Linked DNA regions of Cricetulus griseus. The protein of the gene in region 1 purifies or fractionates together with the protein of each later gene. This does not show direct contact. Links are inferred from orthologs where the notes say so. Each region holds a gene or a part of one and is shown in the gene's direction. Other genes may lie near its edges.

Region 1 (3,654 bases):
AGTAATTACTATTGTATAAGATAATTTTTAAATGTGACTACTAAATACACATACATATTTTCCACAGAGAGTACTTCCACACATGTTCTTACTATACATATGTTTGTCATTGGTGGTGTGCTAATGTATGTATTTGCGTATCTGTGTGTCATAGCTCTAAGTCCAACAGGAACTCTCCTGCCACCCAATTCAGTGTGGCTTTGGTTTTCCCCCATTTTGTTAGCCGAACAAAAGGATACCCCTGCTATAGGAATATGGTGATGATATGTTTTATTTTGGGCATCTCATGTCTGCCCTGCAGACCGCAATGCATATTCTACCTTCCTGACATTTACATCCTTCAAATTATATAGGAGCAATATATAATTGCATTTGGTACCGCATAGTCTTTCCTTTTATTTATCCTGTAATTTTGTTACTGTTGCTCGTGAGACTGGTAAGGTCAGCAGTGTTTTCCTTATGGTTCTGTAGCTTTAGTATATTGGAAAGCAGAACGTATAAGACAAACTAGCATGTTCAAATTCACAGGCAAAGCTTGACAGTAATTGTCCCTTCGTCTCTGTTGCTTTTCTCTTCAGCACTCTTCCTTATCTACATGGAGGAAACAGAAATGTCCAGAGCTGTGGTGATGTGGTCTCAGAGCTCTCTGGTCCACTTATTTAAATGTGTTTGTTTGCTTTATTTGAGAGCAGATTTTTAGGACACTAAAATATTTTCTCTTATTTCTTTTAACAGTGTTTCGGGTTGAACTTTCCTGTACCGGCAAAGTCGACTCTGAAGTTATGATACTAATGCAGCTCAACCTGACAGTAAATTCTTCAAAAAACTTTACAGTTTTAAATTTTAAACGAAGGAAAATGTGCTACAAAAGTAAGGAATTTATTTAACAGAGTGTGTTTTGTGTAAATAAGAGGTCTATAGAATATTGTATTGTTTGTTTACAGACTTAACTATAAACAAGTCTTTATTGTAGTTGTGAGAAAAGGGAAGCATACTAGTAGATGAAATTCTGGGGTAACCCCAGATAGTGTGTAGCCAGGATCTCTCTCGGCCACACTCAGCTCTGTGGAACTGCTTGAAAGATTCCATGAGGAGTGTGAAGTGGAGCCTGTGTGGCTGAAGGGTAAAGAAGGAAGACAAACCCCACAGAGGCCATGGAGCAGCTGTGAGCTAAGCATTTGCTCAGTGAACTTGGCTTCTGCAGGAGCTTCACTGTGTGTGTGGGGGGGTGGGAGGGTAGGCGGAATGTCTGCGGGAGTTTCACTTTGGGGGGTCACGTGGGCCTGCTCTTCTCAGGATGGGTGAATTGTTATTACACCTTTGTGAGACTCAGGTTCTCATCTGTAAAATATGCATGATGCTGTTTCAGAGAGGGTTTAAAGGATAATTAAATCTAGCCTAGAATTAGAGTGTCACATGTGGGTACTTAATAATAATTATTTGTTAGGGATTTGAATTATATTGTCTATTGCTCAGGAAATCACCACAGATACAGTGATTTCTAGCATACCAACGCTGAGTTTTGAAATTTTAACAATTCTACAAGGTTATCTAATTTCCATGTAGCACAGAGATAGAACTTGTAAATTTACAAATAGGTAGAACTGTTTACTGTTTAAGGTAGAAACAAAACAAACCATAAACTCAATGGATGCTTTTCCATGGTCTGCACTCGTTACATGCAGTAAACCCATGTATCCTTACGTCAGTTCTAGGTAACCTGGCCAGGCTCAAACAAAGTGCTGCAGCTGAGAGGCCAACCTGTGTTCTTGGTTTCTTTGTGAAACTGTTTATTTGCAAACTTCCCAGTGGAAATTAGTGCTGGGTCTTATTCAAACACCCAGGGTCAGCAAAGTGAGTTACAGTGGCAAATGTCAAGACACATGCCAACAAAGAAACTATATTGCATTGAAAAGAGACATTTTTTAAAATAAAAAAATTATCACCCTTATCTTTAGTGCAGTTTTAAGTTGCTTTGGTGTAAGTTTAAAGCCTAAGGGGATTGTAGAGGCTTTACTGCAACTTGCCTTTATGTGATTGGCATGAGGACACTGGGCCTTGAAGAGGCCACCTAGACTTGTATAACTAGTCAGGATGGATGGATGGATGGATGGGTGGATGGGTGGATGGATGGGTGGGTGTGTGGATGGGTGGGTGTGTGGATGGATGATGGATGGATTGATACTAGGGTTGGACCCAGGGTGTACTAGAAGAGTGATTTACCACTGAGTGTATCTCAAACTCTATTTTAGCAATTTTATTTGAGACAGGTGCTTGCTAAGTTACCCAAGCTGGCCTTGAACTCACTATTTAACCAAGTCATGCCTTGAACTTGTGATCTTCCTGTATCAGCCTCTTTGGTAGTGAACATTAATGTGTTCACTACCATGCTTGACTTCTGAAAACTGTTCCATTTTAGATTTAATATATACCACTGTCTTAATTTGGTGGTCATAGCTTGCCCACTTTAATCAGCTTTTTTCATGACTCTAATATGTGATCCTATTGTATTCATCTGGTTTCTAGCCTATGGCACGTAAACAACTGCACTAGCAAGCACATCTGTGCTGTGTGGAATGCTAAGAGCTGTTACTCCCTAGAAGTTTCTTTATCTTAGTGGTAGAGTTAGGGTCAGGATTTTTCATCCTTTAGAAATCTAGATCCTTTCTGTTGAGCTGGTTGTGCCAAGAGTTTCCATGAAGACAGTGTAAGTTTGTGGGTTTCTCTACACTCTTGACCACAGAAACCCATTTCATTGGGAGTGGACAAGTAACTGGCATAGGCTGTTTATCTACTGGTGATTGCACTGATGACTATTAGAATGGCATAGTAGTTTTCATTATCTTACAGCGAATACCTGTGACTGAGCTCAGTGTTCAGAAAATGTGCTAGTATATAAGGATTCTTATGAAAAACAATTTCTGAAGTACTTTTTATTTCCCTTTTAATCCAGAACTTGAAGAAGTAAAAACTTCAGCCTTGGACAAAAACACTAGCAGAACTATTTGTAAGTGCCACTGTGTTTGTTATCTTTCTCCATCACGAGACTGAAGCAGTGCCTGAGTGCATGTGGACATGCTTGCATGACAGTGGAAGCCTGCTCCAGTGTGGTGTCAGTTTGCTGTCTATTCTGCTCTGTTCTGGAGACTGATACATAGATCAAGTGAAGCTGATTGGGTATTGAAGATTGTGAGAATTCAAACTTGCCTCTTTTATAGAACTAACAAACTAACACATACTTTTTAGAAGCAAAAATTTATATTGTGCTTTTTCTCAGATAGGCCCAATAAAGGAACAAATACTAAAAAATATGTTTAAGACCTTCAGTAGCAGAGTGTTAGGGAATCTGATTCATACCCTGGGCCTAACCTTTAGCTAATTTCATCTGGGTGAAAATGCAAATTTATGTTATTTATTTTATATTTTATTTTGAGAGAGAGAGAGAGAGAGAGAGATGACCTAGTTGGTAAAGTGCTATGCAAGCACGAAGACTTGTTCAGATTCCTAGCACCCATGTAAATGGCGGGAGCTGCAGTACCCTCATGAAACTCCAGCACCATGTGGCACGGGAAGGTGGGGGTGGTGGAGGGGCAGAGATAGGCAGATCTGCAGAGCCTTCTGGACAGCCAGCCTAGCCAGTCAGGAGTTCCAGGT
Region 2 (3,654 bases), on another chromosome or scaffold:
GGCTGTGGCGTCATTTTGAAAGGGAGACTGAATTCCTCAGACAATTCCAGATACGCCATGGCCACCTGATAATGACAAAAGGGAGGAAATATAAACAGAAATAAAAAGTGAGATAAGCAAAAATGATTTCTCTCTTGAAATAGTGAAAAATATAGTGATCACATTAACAAAAAAGATAAGAGTTGTTGGTGAAATAGAGGCCAAGTCTTTAGAATTTTTGTCAGTGAGTTTGGTCCCATGATGTATATGTTATCAACAATGAAATACTGTGTAACTGTTTTTCCATACTACTATCCCAATTCTGTGAAACATTATAAAGACCATAATTGTATTTTATGGCCACCCATGCTAAGAGCTTGAACTAGGATAAAAAAGATTTTTCATAGGCTGTATATTACTATTAAACTCATAAGGAATGAGTTAGTAGCAGAAATATCAGCAATGTGCAGATTTTTCAGAAATTTTTTTCTCTATAATGGAATTTAAAGGAGAGATTTGTGGAAGAGAATATTAGTCCTTAACAAAGCCAATTTATAAATTAGGGGAAAATGCCACAATCATTAACTTTCTCATTACTAATCTACCATGTGCAGATAATCCTTAGAACTCCACAGTCCTATTGGTCATGGTTATGGTTAGAGATTTGTACCATGAACTTTCAAGCTACAAACATCCAGAGAAGGTTCTCAAATTTATACTATGTTTTGGCAACAGTAATTCTAAACTGTGTACTGGAAAGGAACAGTGTGGGTTGTAAGTATGATAACTGTGTCCACTTGTGTCACATTCAAATTCATGCCGGGTTAATGTATGAACTGTTTTTTAAAAATTTCAAAGTGTGTGTGTGTGGGACTTAAGCTGTCTATGGGGCCTCAGGCAATGGAACCAGTATTTATCCCTAGTTCTCGAATGGGCTTTGGGAGCCCATTCCCTATGGAGTGATACTCTTTCAGCATAAATACATGGGAGAGGACCTAGGTCCCGCCCCAAATGATGTGACAGATTTTGATGATCTCCCATGGGAGGCCTCACCCTCCCTAAGGAGTGGATATGGGGTGGGATGAGGGTTTGGAAGGGGGGACTGGGAGGATAGGATGGAGAGGGAACTGGGGTTGTTATGTAAAATAAGATTTTAATTTAAATAAATTTTAATTAAATTTTTTTCAGACAGCTAATAAGCAGCATTTAGCATATACATTATCTATCATATGTCATATCATCAATATTGTGATTGCTTTAACATGTTAGTTTGTTCTATGGATGACACACCATTAGTTTTTTCCCATAATGAACTTAAATTTACTCTCATTTATTATGTAACTAAGATATCTTGGGTATCTCATACACAGTCAACATGATGAGGCATTGTCACCAGCACAGGTACTTGTTGGCGCTAGTTGGACAGTTTTATATGACATCCAATACACCAAATAAACACTACACTTGACTTTACTGTGTTTGAATGAACTACAATTATGGTAAACACAGGCAGTTTAGTCTTGTGATTTATTTCCTATTAATGGGTTGAAGAGAATTTTACAGGTTATCCTACTATGTCTCTTACAGTTTCAAATAGATTTTTTATTGGAACAAAGTAATAAATATTTGAAATTTCCTAATACCACATGCAAATTCTTATTTCACAGCTGCACTGTTTGTAGCTGAGTGCCAGCAACAGGGCTATAAAAGTCTGTATCATATGAACTTGATTTGAATGCATTCTGTCATTTGGATGAAGTATTTAAATGACATCCTTTCATAATGGTTATTTTAGTATTTTATTTCCTCCGTAAATAAATAACCCTTTCTTTTTTATGAAATCTATTTGTGAAAAAATGTAAAGGCTCCTGAATGGAAAAGGGTTGAATATATAAAACTAGTCTACTCGATTGCAATGCATGTTGGATAATATTTGTGTTTTCTTACCTTTCTTTCAAACCAGGAATTTTTTTCAAAAACAAAAGCATAATCTCTAGGCTTTGTCTTAGATAATATATAGTTATCAGAATATATTTCGATCTGTGTAATAATTTGTATTGAATTAGTGTCTGTATGCTTTTAAGTATGTAATTTATGTATTTTATGAAATAAGATCATTTGAAATCTTATATCTTAGTGACATTCAGAATCTTTTCTTTTTACAGCCATTTCGTAGAGTGACGTTTTCTGTTGTGAGTCAGCCACAGGACCCACATCAGGGGTCACTGCAGAGTTGCTATGACAGCGGGCTGGAGGAGTCAGAAACACCAAGCAGTAAGAGTTCATCAGGGCCAAGACTGGGTGCCCTTCCACTCCCAGAGGACAACTATGAAAGGACCACGCCGGATGGCAGTGTTGGTGAGGCAGAGCATATGGAAAATGGTAGGGGCAAACACAACATCCACACACATAATCACGCTAGTGAGCCAGAATAACTAGGCTTGTGAAAGCTAGCCTAAAATAAAAACAAAGTAGATTACACCAAAAGTATTTCAAAATACTAAACACTCGGTAAAATTTAGAAATGACAAATAAAGAAATATAATTTTGTAGATAAAATTCATAAAATTATGCCATCATTTCAAATAGCTCATCAGAAATAAATGCACCTAGAAATAAATTAGAGCAGTTCCTGCTATGAAAATGCTAATCCAATGCACAATTGCTAAACAATAACCACTATGAGAGGTCTTGTTTAACTATTTCCTTCTATTCATTTTTGTCATGCAACTATTTCTTCAATTTTCATAAATCAATCTTAGTGAAAGGCAAGACCATGAACACACTTTGCTTGAGTTTTCCTTTCCTGAATGCCCAGCAATGCATTTCTGAGCCTGTTCTTTTGAGTGCCAGGTGAAATGGATGAGAAGCAAGCAGCAGTGTCTTGCTCTACCTAGCATGCAGTAAATACCACAAACACCCCTCTCCCCTTAAAGTATATGCCTTATTCCGATTTTTTGCAAGGAAAAGGAAACAAAACAAAATATAATGCTGCCTACTCTTACCTCATTGTGAGGCTATTCTTATACTTGTCACAATTCTCCTTTATGGCTTTTTGTATATCATAAAATGATATTTAAAACAATGTATGTAAATGCTTTCACATTTGCTCATGTTCCTAAAGAAAATTTTGGTATTTATTTTCTGCATTTTGAGTGCTAAGTATACATTTGAGGAAAATGTTTATGTCAAACAGTGGAGTGGCAAAGCTCTTCCTAACTTCATTATTATTTCCAGAGTGGCAAAGCTCTTCCCAAGTTCATTATTATTTCCAATGTGAAAGAGATACCGTTATATATCAAGAAAGGCATGGGAAATGCAAATATTTTGTCTGTAGTGAATAGTCAAAATAGATTTATGTCATTCACCGCCTCAATCTGCTAATGAAAAAGGATCTCTTTCTTGCTTTATACCAGTTTCTTCAGTGGTGGCATGCAAAGACAGTGTATTAATGCAAAGAATAACAGGCTTCCTTTTCAAAATTTTACCTGTGAATATTAAAATCCAGCAACGAATAAATCAAAAAGAGACCTCAAGTGAAGTATTCTAAACTAAATTATACTAAGCAATTATCTTTCTACATTATTATTAGATTTGATACCAGGGCCTGTTGATTGATGTCCCTTTTGATCAATTATTCAGATTTTAAATGGCATTTTGCCTCATGGCTATTAG
Region 3 (3,654 bases), on another chromosome or scaffold:
CTTATTGATCCCTTGTAGGTCTCTTGATGTCGTCCATCCTTTATTTATAAAACTTAGTGATTGTTTTCTTACAAGATGACACTCAAGCTGCTTTTTTCTTGTATCCCTTGTCTCTAGATCTGCTGTCTGGGTGATACCTGGGACTTTGGTTCCAGTGGATGCTTTTAGACATTGAAAGCATTGTTAAAAGTTATCCACAAAAAAATAATGGCATAGTATATGAGGACCCATGGTTCCCAGAAGGGTACCACCAACACTGGGACCCACATTAATCCTCTGAGGCAGTGACATTGGTTGGACACCACATGGCTGCTAGCACTGTACAGTGTCCCCATCGAAGCATGTCATGCTTCTTTTGATGGTACCATATTTTGAGGTGTGCAACTTTAGGCCGATGTGGTGGTCCAAATGAGTCAAAAACCTGGAAGAAAAAGGTGTTCTTTGCCTGAGAAGATTCTGAACTCAGATTGTTTCCATGGTGGCTAGCAGGCAGTCACATCTCATGTGGAATCACTGTATTTAGGTAAAAATTTTATTTTTTGGTAATTTTTAAAGCTATATCTTTCAAATGGCTAGGCTAGTAATTTATTAGAATGTAAACATACAGTATATTTTGTTGTTTTATGAGCTTACGTTGGCCTTGTGATCCTCCTGTGTTAGGTCCTCCATGTTAAGATTACAGGTGTGTACCCCTATGGTTGAATAGAGACTCAGTTTTGACATTTATCTTACTACTTGGAACTACCAGATATTTTTCTTTTTGAGGACTAGGCACATAGTAAAGGAGTTACATAGTGAGGCTCTTGAGCTGAGCTTGAAACCTGGATTACTTAGGGGCCATACTTTGTATTTCGTCCTAATTCATTATAGCTGCACAGCATAGAATAGCTTTGGATTTAATGATTATTTAATAAAGAATTTTGCTTTTTATGTCACTCATCATTAAAATATTGATTACAACTGTTGACTTGTTTCTTAACTTAGGAATGCTAATATTCATTTTCTTTGATGATTCTGGATGTAACAGTGCCTCAGAGTCTATTAGAATGCTAGCCAGCCCTTGGTGACTTAGGAGACCACACAAATGTGTATTCACTTCCAGACATAATTTGATAAGTTAATTAAGATGATACATGCTTTATGTCTAATTATATCTTACCATTTGTTTCTACATAACGGCAAAGCATGGTGGATCATATAGAGGAAAGGGGGTTAATTGAAGGTTTTGACACTTGCTCTTTAATTAATAGGTTTATATTAGAGAATTATGATTTCATACTAAGAATGAGATTTACTGACCATTATGGAGAGATTCAGCTCTAAGGTGAAACATAGCTTCACATAGACACTTCTTTAGGAATCATTAATTGGTCATTTACTAATCTTTTTAAAGAGTTACATTTGTTTAGTGTATGCACATGTATTCTTTTGTGAATGCCAGGCTGTACACGTAGAAGTTGGAGGCTTTTGCAGCAATCGATTCCCTCTTGCTGTGTGTGGGTCTCAAACTAAAGTCACCCAGCACATTGGCAAGCATTTTTGCCCACGGATCCACCTGTTTTTAGAATAATCTTTCTCTTCTTTCTCTACAAAGTATTTCCTGTTAAATACTTTTATTTATTTGTGTGTGTGTGTGTGTGTGTGTGTGTGTGTGTGTGTGTGTGTGTGTGTGTGTGTGTGTGTTGTTCATGCACCTTGTATGCATGTGGTACCCTTGGAGGTCAGAAGAGGTCATTAGACCATGTGAAACTGGGAGTTACAAATGGTTTGTGAGCTGTTGAGAACTTAAACCTGGTCCTCTTCAAGAGGAACAAGTGCTCTCAACTACTGTGCCATCTCTCCAGCCTCTTCTCCTTACATATTTCTTTTTAAATCACTTCATTATAGTCCTGTATTTCATAAATATTTTATTCAAAGTCTTTGAAATGGTGTGACTTAAAACCATTTTCCACCTGTGAGCTGGCTGTTCTGTGTCCCACCATGCTTCTGGAATTCCTTTGTGTTACAAACCATTGTGCTCTGTTCCTACCCCTCCTATGGCTCTACTTTATTTTTAGGATCCTGATATTTCTCTCTTTAAATTTTTTTTTCTTTTTTCTGCAGTGCCCTAACCATTTCCAATATTCAGGCTGGATCTACTGGAAACTGGGGCTGTCATGTTCAGACCAAACGTGGGAATAATACAAGAACTGTTGATATTGTGGTATTAGAAAGCTCAGCCCAGTACTGTCCACCAGAGAGGGTTGTGAACAACAAAGGTGATTTCAGGTCAGTGATGTGAAACATACTAGAAAATGCTGGTTTGTCCCAAAGCTTTATAGTCTCAAAGATAAATAATTGGTCTCTCAACCTCAATAACAAAAATTGAGATGAGTGTGTGTATGTGTATCCATACATACACATATATGTGGATATTCACACATAGATATGTATCTAAGGAATATTCTTTGCAATAATAATTTCAGTATCATAGAAAAATAATCAGATACTTGAACTTTATTTGATACCTATTGATTTAAGAGTCACTGAAAGAATAGTTATTTTAGAAAAAAGGTGTGTTTTGAAAATTTTAATGCATGCACGCAGTGTATCTTGATCATGTCTCCCCCCATTCTCTGCTTGTCCCCCTTAACCAATGGTTTGCTACAGGTCTTACAAACTCCTGCTTTAGGGAAACAGTGTCTGGCAAGTTGATGACACTGTCTCATGTTTCTTTGTTTTTTTTTCCAATGACTCTTAATGATAAATCTTGAAAGGTTTTCTATTCTTAAGTCATTTAGTTCTAGACATCGTCATTGGGGGAGACACATAGACTTACTTTCTTGCCCCATTCAGTAATTCTGGCAATTGAGTCAAAAGGGATTGGGGAAAGGAACACCATTTCATAGCCCAAGACAGCTGTTGGGATCTGGTGGGTTCCAGGGCTCTTGTGAGATCTGCTGAACCAGTTAAGATCCTTTTAGATGGAGGAGGACCTGTGAGAGTTAATGACTTTCCAAGTTGATGTAAATCATCTTTCCATAGATGAGTTACAGCAACTTGTGTTTAGAGGCTTTTAGTAATGAGTTTTTAGTGTAAACAAAGGAAATACATTGCTTTTCAATCATGTATAAAGATTATTTAACTCTAAGTTCACATTGTTTCTGGTGTGTGTTGGGGGGTAGCTACCTCTTGGTTATAGCCTCTACAATTTTAGAGTGAGAAAGATTTTAATATATATCTTTGTAGTTTGGGACACTGTAGGAGTGCTGTCTCTCACCTTATTCCATCTCTCTGTCTCTGTCTCTGTCTCTGTCTCTCTCACAGAGAGAGAGAGAGAGAGAGAGAGAGGCAGACAGACAGACAGACAGACAGAGACAGTATTCATTATTTCAAGCGAGTGAGTAAGTTCATGTGCATAGAACACTGTCTGTGCATATACTTTTAGTTCTTAAAAGTATAATGTGCGACATTGGTTCATTTTGTGACATTCAGCATCTTTTATGAAGTAATCATGTTTTCCATTTATGTTGGGTTTTGTCTTTCATTCAGTTTTTTAGTGTTTTGCATGCTTAATTGATTAACGAATTATTTATCATCTGATACTCCTTAAGGAGTATCAGCACTGCTGTATTAATGATGTTTGGTATAGTGTTGCTTGATTTGTTTATGTAG

What was found. Proteins that work in one complex are often made in the same cells at the same time.
Region 2: the proteins of Ryk (region 1) and protocadherin-7 purify together in Homo sapiens (affinity purification with mass spectrometry; 3 studies listed by BioGRID and IntAct, with this or other methods). This does not show direct contact. The link is inferred for Cricetulus griseus from reciprocal best matches to the Homo sapiens genes RYK and PCDH7.
Region 3: the proteins of Ryk (region 1) and Adgra3 purify together in Homo sapiens (affinity purification with mass spectrometry; 3 studies listed by BioGRID and IntAct, with this or other methods). This does not show direct contact. The link is inferred for Cricetulus griseus from reciprocal best matches to the Homo sapiens genes RYK and ADGRA3.

What each region holds. Positions count from the first base shown.
Region 1 is NC_048597.1:211,108,712-211,112,365, forward strand, and holds part of Ryk (tyrosine-protein kinase RYK), read left to right. Parts: intron 1-735; coding exon 736-870; intron 871-2,953; coding exon 2,954-3,007; intron 3,008-3,654. UniProt on the Homo sapiens protein: May be a coreceptor along with FZD8 of Wnt proteins, such as WNT1, WNT3, WNT3A and WNT5A. Involved in neuron differentiation, axon guidance, corpus callosum establishment and neurite outgrowth.
Region 2 is NW_023276807.1:125,653,649-125,657,302, forward strand, and holds part of protocadherin-7, read left to right. Parts: intron 1-2,144; coding exon 2,145-2,361; intron 2,362-3,654.
Region 3 is NW_023276807.1:118,364,812-118,368,465, reverse strand, and holds part of Adgra3 (adhesion G protein-coupled receptor A3), read left to right. Parts: intron 1-2,103; coding exon 2,104-2,268; intron 2,269-3,654. UniProt on the Homo sapiens protein: Orphan receptor that may have a role in planar cell polarity pathway.